2 linked regions of the Drosophila melanogaster genome follow. The protein of the gene in region 1 interacts with the protein of each later gene in a pairwise test. Each region holds a gene or a part of one and is shown on either strand. Other genes may lie near its edges.

Region 1 (3,916 bases):
TGCCGACATACACCCGTGTCCCGCGCTGATCACCCATGCTGGACATCTGGATTCACTGTTTCTGATTCGTTTTCGGAGTTATCCTGCAAATCGGATAGCTGCCTTGAAAAATAAATAATCAATAAGTTATCACCACCGGACAATTTAGCGTTTGTATCTATATCAACTTTTCGACCAGGGTGGTTAAACTCGTTGCAAAAATGCTAATTTTCAAAAATATCCTCGCATTTGGAACACTGAGAATGGACGTGTGTTGGGATGTATTTATAGTTTAACGGCCCCGTAAAAAGGGACTTCCCGCTGCTCTAGTGACTTGTATTTTTAATTATTTTTATACTTTGTGCTGGGAAATGTATCATGGTAATCTGAATAATACGTCAATTTAATTTATATAATTTTATAAATATTTGTATGATCTTTAGTAAAGTAAATAAAGTAAAACAATATATAAAATGTTTGTTAATATATAGCCGTGTACTTTTATATTTTCTTCAAACCCCAAATAATGAATAATTATATTGAACATTTATTAATTATTATTTAATTAATTTATAATTTAACTATTATCATAATTTAACTATTTAAATATAATGACTATTATCATTTTAAGTCATTAAAAGAAAATTTGTTACGATTTAAACTTTATTTATATTTTTGTTCTTAAATATAAAATACAAATAGTTCCCTTAATGTGTTCCATTCCATCGTTTCTGTTAAGATATATTTCGATTGGCACCTTTGTGTGTAGTGGTTTTGTTTATTGTTACCTTGAGTATTTACGAAAGACGCATAATAACAAAGAGTTGCAAAGTTGTTGTATTATTTGAGAGTTATAATGGCTGATATGGAGATACAGAGCAACAAAATGTCAATAACGGAGGAAACACAAGTGGTAATATATTATTAAATATAAAAGATGTGGTCTTTTTGTTTGAACATGATCTGAATTGTTCTAATGCGCAGTAAGGCCTTGCGTGTATGTATATACACATATATAAGCTATCTTCTGTGTATGCGTGTATATACATATGTGATTTTTATCATGCAAAAGCGCCTATTTTCAAAAAAGATTTTAAGTTTGACTTATCGGAACTAAATTTTTGCGAATAAGAATATTGAAAGCAAATTGTTTTTGGGATATCGTCAAATATTTACATTTTATATTATATTTATAAGCAGACGCGCAAGGAATGTGGAAAAAGGGGACGAAAACCAGGAAGAAAGACGTCTACTGAAAAATTGGACATGAAAGCCAAACTAGGTAAGAACAACATTAATTTCCACTTATAATACTTAAACAACGGTATTATTTTTAATAGTAACAAAGTTTCCAAACACTAATACATGTTATTTCCTATGGAATTTTATATAACGTGTATTTTCCCTTGCAGAACGCAGCAGACAAAGTGCCAGGGAATGCCGGGCGCGCAAGAAGCTGCGGTATCAGTACCTGGAGGAACTGGTGGCGGATCGGGAGAAGGCTGTAGTTGCTTTGCGTACGGAACTGGAGCGCGTCGGTATATAACTTATCATGCCACGTCCAACCAATTTATTTATTCTCATCTTTATTGCAGTTAATTCAATGGAATAACCAGTTGAGCGAAAGCAACACTCCAACCAACAATGACCAGTTACTTCAGGAACTCGGAATCCTCAAACAAGAATAACCTACATTCTTATTTTTAGCTTAAGAATATTACTTTTATAATAAATGTACGACGGTTACTATTTATATTATTACGAAAATACTGCAGAAATTTTTGTTATTTTCTATATTGCATTTTACAGCTTTTTATTGTTTCATTTGTATAGTGATTAAAGCCAAATTAAAGTATTTTTATGATAAATAAGAACTAATTAAATATTTGTTATTTAAGGGTGTTAAACCAATTGGTACACTGGAACAGTGATATATGGAACGATTATTCTAAGGGTTCGATAACTTAGTCGTGAAAAGCCTATCAATGGTTTCTCCCATCTCTCCATCGGCATAAAAATACAGAATAGTCTAAGGAACTGAATAAATGTAAACATTATTTATAAACAGCCATTAATAGTTATTCAATTGACAAACTTTTGTGCTGTAAGCAGCGCTTACATATGTGCCAAAATATTCTCACAACCAACAGAATCTCCAACAAGATATTATGGCTTTAAATGGATTTTTAGAATTCTTCCAAAAGGGCAAGGTGTGTTTGGTCAATAACAAAATCATATGCAGTTGATGTATTTTTAAACTAATTTTCAGACCTTTAGGCCAAAAAAGCCATTTGCCTCCGGAACCATTAGGTATTCCTTACATAAGCAAGCCCAGGCCAGTTTGCAATCCGGGATTAATCTGCGGCAAGTGGTGCGTTTGCCGCAAGGGGAGAATCTCAACGACTGGCTAGCTGTGCACGGTGAGAATTGTGAATTATACAATATATACAGTATACCCAACGTTGTATATTTCAGTTGTGGACTTCTTCAATCGCATAAACTTGATCTACGGCACCGTTTCGGAGTTTTGCAACGAAACTACGTGTCCCACGATGTCTGGCGGTTCCAGATATGAGTACTTATGGGCCGATGGAGATCTGTAAGTGCAGGAAATGATATTGCGAAGAGCATAAACTAATGTAGCTACGATTTCAGATACAAAAAGCCAACCGCCCTTTCAGCCCAAAAGTACATTGAGCATTTAATGGACTGGATTGAGACACAAATTAACAACGAAGCTGTTTTTCCAGTGTCCACGGGTAGGAAATTATATACTTTCCTTTTAAAGAAGCCCTCTCGCATATTTCGTATATGAGTTATTTAATGTGTACCATACTTCCTTTCAGATGTTCCATTTCCCAAGAACTTCATAGCAATAAGTCGTAAAATTTTAACCCGTCTTTTTCGTGTTTTCGTCCACGTCTATATTCACCATTTCGATCGGATTGTGAGCATTGGAGCGGTGCGTATCACTAAATAGTTACTTTAATTAACTCTATAAACTGTTAAATGTTTTCACCACTTTCAGGAAGCTCACGTGAATGCCTGCTACAAACATTTTTACTACTTTGTGCAAGAATTTGACATGATTTCGGCCAAGGAATTGGAACCCCTACAAGAAATGACATCTCGAATTTGCAAGGATAAGGATTGAAAGTAATTCGTACTAGATTGTGATGTAAATATGTATTGTTTATTACAAAATAAATAAGCGAACACAAAGCTTGGTGTCCTTTTCTTAATAACTAATTTTATAATTTTAGTTTTTCAAATTTATTGTTTGTTGGTATTATTTTCTCATCAAAATGGTGTGTTAGGGGTACTCCTCTGTAAAGACTGGTATAATAAAGTTCAATAGACTTGGTCGCACCGATGTAAACAGAGTTTTTCGCATTAAGTAAATTAAATTGCTGATTTATTTTTGTTAAAGTTAAGCACTTCTTAGAGTATTTTACAACATGGAGATGGTTGAACCGGATGCGCACTTGGTGGCACTCAAAGGTAAACTCTAGTTGTAATGCAAATTATGGACAAAGTGTGATGTTTTTGTTGTTTTCTTAGTTATGCGTTTGATGCGGCCCACTTTGGTGGGCCTTGGACCTGTGGTAACCTGCGAGCCCACGGATTTGGTCCAGAGATTTAGCAGCTCCCAGGAGAGCGACGGAATGTCCGGTGCCTGTGCGGAGACCTTGGCGGCCGGCCAGGTGCTACTGCTGCCGCAGTCCTTCGGCAGCATTTACCTGGGCGAAACATTCGCCAGCTACATCTGCGTCCACAATACCACCCCGAATCCGGTGGAATGCGTCACCGTCAAGGCGGATCTACAGTCGAACACGTCACGCATCAACCTATCCATGCACGAGAACGCCAAGTCGCCGGTGGTATTGCCGCCGGGTGGAACCATTGACGATGTGATACGATACGAGGTGAAGGAAAT
Region 2 (7,925 bases), on another chromosome or scaffold:
GGACAAGCATTCAAGGATTCCTCCTCTAGCTGCACTGCATCATGGTTGGCCGCCATCTTCTCGATGATCTCGCCCAGATTCTTGGCCGCAATGAATTCGGAAATGCCGATGTTGTAGCCCTTCTCGCGCAGCAGCGTCACCGTGAAAATGGAATTCAACGAGTTGCCGCCCAGCTCATAGAAGTTACTGTGCGGAGCGAGGGTTGCTCTGGTGGAGCGTCCAATCACGCCGCCCACTGTCTCGAAGAGATCCCGTGCCGTTAGCTTTAGATCCTCAGGAACCTGCGAGTAGTCAAAGTCCAGAACGATACTGGAGTCACCTTCGTTGTTATTGGCCGTCTCATAGGTTTTGAGCAGCGCCTGGCGATCCACCTTGCCGTTGACCAGCAATGGAACGTGCTCCAGGATGACCACCTGCGGCGTCATGTAATCGGCTAGCTTGTCCTTGAGACGAGCCTCCATCTGCATCTCGGTGACCATGGGGGCATCATCGCGCAGCTTGACGAAGGCCAGAATAGCCTGATCCACCTGACCAGCATGGTAGCACAGAACAATGGCCTTATCCACCAGCGGCAGCTCGGCCACGTTCTTCTCCACTTCGGACAGGTCGACGCGATGTCCACGGATCTTCACCTGAGAGTCGGTGCGTCCCTCGTACATGATGCTGCCGTTCTTCAGGGATCCATAGTCTCCAGTGCGATACAAACGGGCGTATTCTGGAGAGGTAAAGTCGGATTAAGTAATAATAACTAACTTGAATGCATTTTGAAATGTATTCAGAAGATATCAGATGGACAACTTACTCTTCTCCACAGCTAAAGGATTCTCCAAGAACCTCTCCGGATCGCGTCCGTTAACATAACCAGCGGCCAAGTTGAGACCCGAAGCAAAGATCTCCCCAATCTCGCCGTTCTTCACCGGACGATAGTCGGCATCCAACAAATAGACCACGGTATTCGACAGTGGAATGCCTTCAGGATAAGAGATCATGGGTTATACACGACATGGAAATTTTAGAACCCGAGTTTAAGGCTCACCTATGGGCACATTATCGTACAAACTCAGTTGCTTCTTGCTCTCGCACGCAAAGTAGGTGACATCGCCCAATACCTCCGTGGATCCGTAAAAGTTGTACAGCCGGTGCACGCCCTCATCGAAATAGTCGAAGAAGCTGCTGGCCAGGGAAACGGATAGGGGTTCTCCGGAGCAGACCCAAATCTGGAGATTGTACAGCAGTTTCTGAGCAGCTCCGCCTCCCTCCATCTTCAGATACATGAGCAACGAGCGCAGAAGGGTGGGCACCAGTACGAGACGCCTGATCTTATAACGCTCCAACAGGGCCACCAATCGCTGGGGATCCTTGGTCACTGCCTTGGGCACCACCAGAATGGCCAGGCCACACATTAACGGGCCCCATAGCTCCGCAATCGAGTCCACGAAGGTTAGGGCCGTCTTGAAAACGCTCACCGCCTCGTTGGCGGTGTACGGAAAGGTCGCCCACTGCCACTGGAGCCGATTGAGGATGCTCTCGTGCGGCAGACGCACTCCCTTGGGCACACCCGTACTGCCCGAGGTGTAGAGCACGATGGCGATGTGGTCGTTGCCACCGCGCAGCATCTCCTCTGAGAGCAGATTGGAGCCGGCCAGCTGGAGGGATTTGGCATACAGTTCGGTGGTGGATAACGTGGGAGTTCCCTGGAAACGGCCGGCGTCGATGTCATCGTCGCGAATCACCAAGGTGGGCTTCGCCTCCAGCAGTATGTGGTGAATGCGGTTCGCCGGGAAGCTGGGATCGATGGGCAAATACGCGCCGCCAGCCTTCCAGATGGCCAGCAGTGTGGTGACCAATCCCTCCGACGGCTGCATGCACACAGCCACGATGAAGTCACCATCGCTGTTTGGCTGCAGGAACCGGCCGTGGGTCTCGGCCACCAGGAGGCGGGCTGCCCGGTTCGCACGCTCGTTCATCTGGCGGTAGCTGCTCTGACTGGGCGCCATTCCCTGGCCCGTAGTGCTGGGCTGATAGATCAGAGCCACCTTGTCGGCATGCCGCAGCTGCTGCTCCTCGAAGATGCGGTGCAGAGCTCTAGGCACGAAGTCTTGCTGCAGACCCTTGACGATCGACAATTGTGGCAGCGAACCCATCTTGAAGATATATTAACTGTGGGGAATACTTTGTTAGTTTTGGGCTTAGAATCTCAGTCGGAGAATCCCTAGGTTACATCATCATTCCCAGCTCGTATTATGCAATGCAGGCTAATGCCTTGCTGCCTTGCGGTAGCAATTAAATTCATTCATACATGCATATTTATAACACTTCGTGTTAATGGAGCGCTCGCACAATAAACTATTATAATGAATGAGTATGAATATGGGAGCTGGCTTAAACGGATGGCTTCTGTTGAGCTATATTTATTCAATTAAATTGCTGTCTCTTAAGCTGCAGAGATTGCAAGTTCAAGTAAACTGGAATTCGATATTCCATGTTAATGACTTGATAATTAAGGGTTTCAGGGTAATACGATTTTATTAATGTTTTATTATTTATATCAGTACTTAAGAATAGCCTTATGGAAATAGTTGGAATTCTTATTTCTCGCTAAATGGCGTGGAGTATAAAGACTCATTCATTTTATTTTCAGTAATAGTTAAGTTAGTTTTTCTTCTTTGCGACTAAACGCTTAGCAACAGGCACATGTTATTTTAAATTATGGCGACATTTTTATCTATTCGCTTAGCACCATATTTTTCCCTAACCTATCAGTCATACTTTCATTACAGGTTTGTCTAATAGGAGACTAGAGAGCTCCTTAACTTTAGTAAATATTACTTAATGCATTAGCATAGCCACCTGCTTGTCGTTACTAATTACGGTCAGTTTAATCTATGTGGGCTTACACTATGAATTGAGATGTGTTCCGGCTTTGAAAATCCACGTTTACATTGCCAGGTATTTATTCCTAAAAAAATGTGCCTTAAAAATAAAAATAATAATTTTCGAGTTTTGAATAACCTAGCTCCATAAAATGCCTCATCTTGAAGGAGTTACGCTGGCTCAACTGTTGTATCTCGGACATTGGACTTGGCCAAAAGCCTAAACAAGCGCTCGGAATGCGGCATGCTAACTCGTTAATTGCATGGAGCTAGCCAATTGCCAGAGGCACCAGTCGCTGTCCCATTTTACGTGACGCCATAAAACGCTGGCGAAGATTGGTGGAGGTCTTTGTGCTGCTCATGCTCGTTAAGTTCCATTGGCGTGTTATAAAACTCAGCAAAAATGTCATTGCGCCGACCACTTCTGGTCTACTACCTGTATCTGATTCTGCCCGGCTCCAATGTCAAGCGCTCTAATCCAAAACATGAAGACAAGCTGCCGTCTGGAGGCCCAAGAACGACAATTACCCGTGCCATACCCCTGGCCTTAGCAAATGTTAATCTCTGATTTGGTTTGAAAATTTGATTTCATTAGATTTGAGGCCTCGTTGAATGACTTCGATCGGGGAAGTGGAGCAGTTGAGCGGGCGTTGGCGCTGGGAAAGGCAAGGTAGTCAGGAAGCTTCTTTGGGGCAGTGCGCTATGAATTATTTATTTGCTTCCGCTTCTTCTCCAGCCGAGGAGGAAATGTTGTGGAAGTTTAAGTGAAGGGTGGATGTCGAGGTGGAGATGGTTGTGGTAGCTTGTTGTAACCATCGCGGCTGGGGAGCTCGAAACAAGTTATACTTCAATTGCGCAACTTTAGAGCTGAAAATGCGCCGCCTGGCTTCTGGGTCTGGTTTTCGGACTTGCTTGGTTCTGATTCTCGACTGGCATACATTTTTTTGGCAGCCAAGCAATTTACAACGGTTTACGGGGCGTATACGTAACGAATTCAAGGCTAGTCTTAAATCATTTCCCAAGCGCCCATTACGTATGCGCCGTGTGAGTCCAATTAGTTTGTTCACTTGCATAGACAACCTGCACTATGTTTGCCCACTATATATGTATAGTACTACATGTGTATTTATTTGAGCATATATAGTATGCAAGCTAGTACTATACTATCTGCATACAATGCTGACGCAGTCCATTGTTTTGGTCCCGCCACTCGAGTGCATTCTTGAGCCCCTTTGGTTCTTGGCATTTCACATCATCGATTAAATGCATCCAGCGACTTCTGTTCTGTTCACCTTCGCTGCTTCTGTTGATGAGGTGAAATCCATGCGGCTGCTTTAGTGTTATTACTTTTGCCCCTATTGCCATTAAATCAACGAAAACAAACCAAATAGCCAGCATTAAAACCTAGTAGCAGCGCAATCGAAAAGCATTTAAGACCGCCGCAGTACGACGAGTGCTGCTAATAATTTTCCGACCAAGGTTGCATTTGCGTTAGATCGTTTTCAGTTGGGCTTGGAGGTTCTGGCGCTTTTGGAAAATCGTTCCATAATTATCAGCCTGCCATGTAATCTGTAATTTACATAATTATTGGCCGGGTTGAAAGACCGTTTGCCAGTGGCTGTGTTGGCTGTTGCACTTGGCGGATCAACAACATTGCCTAAGGTCGCGTGGTTTATCTAGTATCGCAAATGTTTCCGCTGGTAGTAATTCCGAAGAGTGTGGCTAATTAATTTGTCGAACCGCAGTGGGAGGCGGTCGTTGGAATCAAAACACAACAGGGCTCTATGCTGAAGTCCACTACTGTTCATTGATTGAATGTATTATTATGTCTTTTTTCTGCCGGCACTGATTTGCCTAATTGAGTAAAAAGCGTCTAATTTAAGCGGTGCTGCGGTGCCCCACCATTGCATCTGCACGGCTTTGTTGGGGGTCGTCCCGGTGAGTGTGATCTGTTTTTTTGTCTGTGCTGGGTTTTTTTCTCTGTTTTCCCCACCGCCGCTGCCGTTTTCCGCAGTATTTCCGATTGTGAGTCAATTGGATGACAAGCTCGTATTGTACGAGTATTTGGAAAAGAACAAAACCGCACTCAAGACCAGCAAACGGTCAAAACTAACGATCTCGGCCAAGTGCCTTACGTCAATGGGGGAATCAGTTGGCGAGCTCATTAACGAGCCAAGTTCAAGTCGGCGAATGCAAATTGTGCACCATAAAAAGCACTTGTAAACGATATGCGACACTCGTTTAGCACATACTTAACATAATTAATAGCCGATCGCTTTGGCCAATGACTCAATTGCAATTATAAATCCATCACTGCTGGCTACCGTCAATAAGTATACGCCGCGTTGGCCGCTCTTAATAACAAGCGTTTTACTAAGCGCTCCAAGACAAATTAAATGTCATTTGCTGGTTACTTATGCCAGCCTTTAGTATGTCGATGGTGGTTTGTAGTCAGGCGCTAAACGCTGAGAAAACAATTTGGTATTCTGAGAAAAGAAGGTCTTAAGTCCGAGTTTAAGAGCTTCGTTAATCACTGAACTAATGCAATGCCTCTTCTGACCTCGCCGCGCCTCGAATTCTGGTTGCCTTTTGCATTTGGAGTGCATTCCCAAGGAACGAGCCGTTAGGCGAATCCAGTTTCCTTCTTGAGTTTAGAACTCGTTTACTTCCTCAAAACGATTTCGTTAGAAAAACTGGTCTTCTAATCGCGCCTTTCAAATCGAAGTATTAGAAATCCTGCTACTTAAAAAACTTTAGTTTGGAACTAACAACGATTTGAGGACTTCCTTAAAGTCATAATTGTTTGGCCATTGTGACAACGAAAACCTTAGCCCACAAAAATGTCGACGTCGAGTGAAGCGAGGTGAAAACAATTTGTTGAATCCATTAATTTATGCTTGAAACTAATTACATTTTTCGTCGTTCTGCTTTTTTGTAATATTCTCAGCTTAATGAATTTTATGTAATTTCTGTCGGATGTGAAGTAAGTTTCGTTATATACGAAGGAACTTAATTCGGCCATTAAATAACGCGAGAAATATTTTGTTAACTGCTCCTCAGCATGCATGTCAAGTCAATTTGCACATTAATTTCGGGAAAGCGAGTTTGCCGAATCTAAATAAATACTTGATAATCACGTAATACGTACCGTGGGTAATAACAAATTCTGACACTGGATTTTTTGAACAGGTTCTTGATTTCCTTTTTCAAATGTTTATCTGTGGCCGTTTCACACTAAGCACGTTTTTCTTGAATTTGATTTTCCTTCTATATTTTCAACTATGAGAGAGTGAGTCTACCAGCTTTAAACTTCTTTTTCTGGTCACTTCACTTAGCGTTTCACTTTGATTTTGGGGGGCACCCAAAAAACTTGCAACGCACTCGGGAAACTCAACGTGCTATGTACTTGTAAACGGCGCTCGCAGACTAATCAGAATCCCAGCCCCCGACTATCTTATATATCCGACCGATCCGCCGCTGCCGCAGTCGCCGCCGGCAGCGCAGTCGCATTCGGCTGGCGAAGAATGACTGAAAAAAAAAAACCAGTTCCTGCTCTTACAGCCCCTGCAATTACCGCTCGCAGCATACCACACATACCCATATGCGGGCGCTCAGTGTGTGGACGCCGGATTAGCATTGGTACCGCTTTACTTGGCTCGCCATTTTTTAGCGGACCGCCGAGCGGTGACGTAGGAAATGAAATGGAATGAAATGAAATTCCCCGCCGTCCCCTCACTCACTAATTGGCAGGCGAATTGTACACTTTGATTACTACTTTTCTGCCAACCAGACCATTTGGAAATCCCTCGAGTGACACACACAGCTCACAGCGGATTGGGGAAGGTGAGATGGCCACTGCTTACGCGTAGGTGGAAAGATGATTTAAATTAGTCCTCCTTTTAAGCAGGAGCTAACAAACAATACTAGTAATTAAGTGATATGGTAGTACTTTTAGGGAAATCTAGGAAAAAGTGCGTCCCTCTTAGCTATACAATGAAACTGAAACTGAGAATTATTATGTATTAGTATTGATAAAGTTTATTAAGGTATGTAAATATTTAAAATTCTGAAGCAAATGTTGGATTTAAGTGCACAGCCTATATTATTTCCGCACTATTCGGATTTTACTATTCCACATGAACTGGTATTAGAATTTAATAGCTAGCAAAGCTTCTAAAAATGGTCGAGTTTATGGCCAAGAGTAGTGGCTATTGTAGCATTAACTTCGCAATTGTTAGTAGTAGGTTGTTAGTACTCGTGCGAAAGTAAAATCGCATTAAAATTGGAATTTCAAATCGATCGAGGATCGCAGTCGCTGCAATTTGTAGTTGTCAGTTGGGCAGATCGGTGTTCATACATATCAGTGGATTTGTGAGAGGGATTGCATTTGCTAACATATGCCAGCCGTCATGTTGTGCTTCCCATTACGAAGTCAGTGTGAAAATTTGCAGTTAAGGCGCTTGTCCCCTGACTTTTAGTGCAATCATTACTCAATAACTATGTATCTACTGCCTTCGAATGCAGTCGAACTTGATGCACAGTCGGAATCAATTGGACTTCATAACTACTTTGTAGGAAAGTCTGAAGTTGATCATTGTTTGCAGTGCCAAGGTTAATCAGTTGATTGATTTAATACTTAAAGAAAGCCCTGGCACAATCAAACACTAATGTTCGATCCAATTAATCGATTTTTAATTAGCGAATCATGAGTGTTTCGTACAAGAATCAACGCCAGTAAATCCAAATTGCGATGCGGGCTAACACTTTGGAGCTGTCGATTGCCATCATTACCATTTGCATTTTTATCAATTTGATTTTAATAGCAGAAATATGACAGACTGACCAATTCAGCAATTACTTTGTGAGTTCAAGAATTAAGAACTGATTTTTCATTGTAAATGGAAATAATTATTAATAGTAATAACAATCTGTGTAATAGTCAGGAGATTTGTAATCAATTAAATTTTATTTTTATTTGAACAAGTAAATCATTAAAAGCGCTAATAAAATAAGTTGCTTTCATAAAAATAATTGTCGGCAATTGAACAACTT

The links.
Region 2: the proteins of Mob3 (region 1) and e interact in a two-hybrid assay, tested with the Drosophila melanogaster proteins (one large-scale study listed by BioGRID).

The regions. Positions count from the first base shown.
Region 1 is NT_033779.5:10,263,373-10,267,288, forward strand, and holds Mob3 (MOB kinase activator 3), read left to right. Parts: upstream 1-1,963; 5' UTR 1,964-2,147; coding exon 2,148-2,189; intron 2,190-2,248; coding exon 2,249-2,399; intron 2,400-2,454; coding exon 2,455-2,578; intron 2,579-2,634; coding exon 2,635-2,738; intron 2,739-2,825; coding exon 2,826-2,941; intron 2,942-3,007; coding exon 3,008-3,133; 3' UTR 3,134-3,198; downstream 3,199-3,916. Other genes in the region: Rsf1 (repressor splicing factor 1), read right to left, coding at 1-46; REPTOR-BP (REPTOR-binding partner), read left to right, coding at 836-892, 1,177-1,261, 1,392-1,513, 1,575-1,667; CG4953 (uncharacterized protein), read left to right, coding at 3,438-3,480, 3,541-3,916.
Region 2 is NT_033777.3:21,230,874-21,238,798, forward strand, and holds the start of e (ebony), read right to left. Parts: upstream 6,305-7,925; 5' UTR 6,022-6,304; intron 2,161-6,021; 5' UTR 2,145-2,160; coding exon 1,037-2,144; intron 971-1,036; coding exon 803-970; intron 716-802; coding exon 1-715. UniProt on the Drosophila melanogaster protein: Nonribosomal peptide synthase which is required for the regulation of histamine and dopamine levels in various tissues through their condensation with beta-alanine.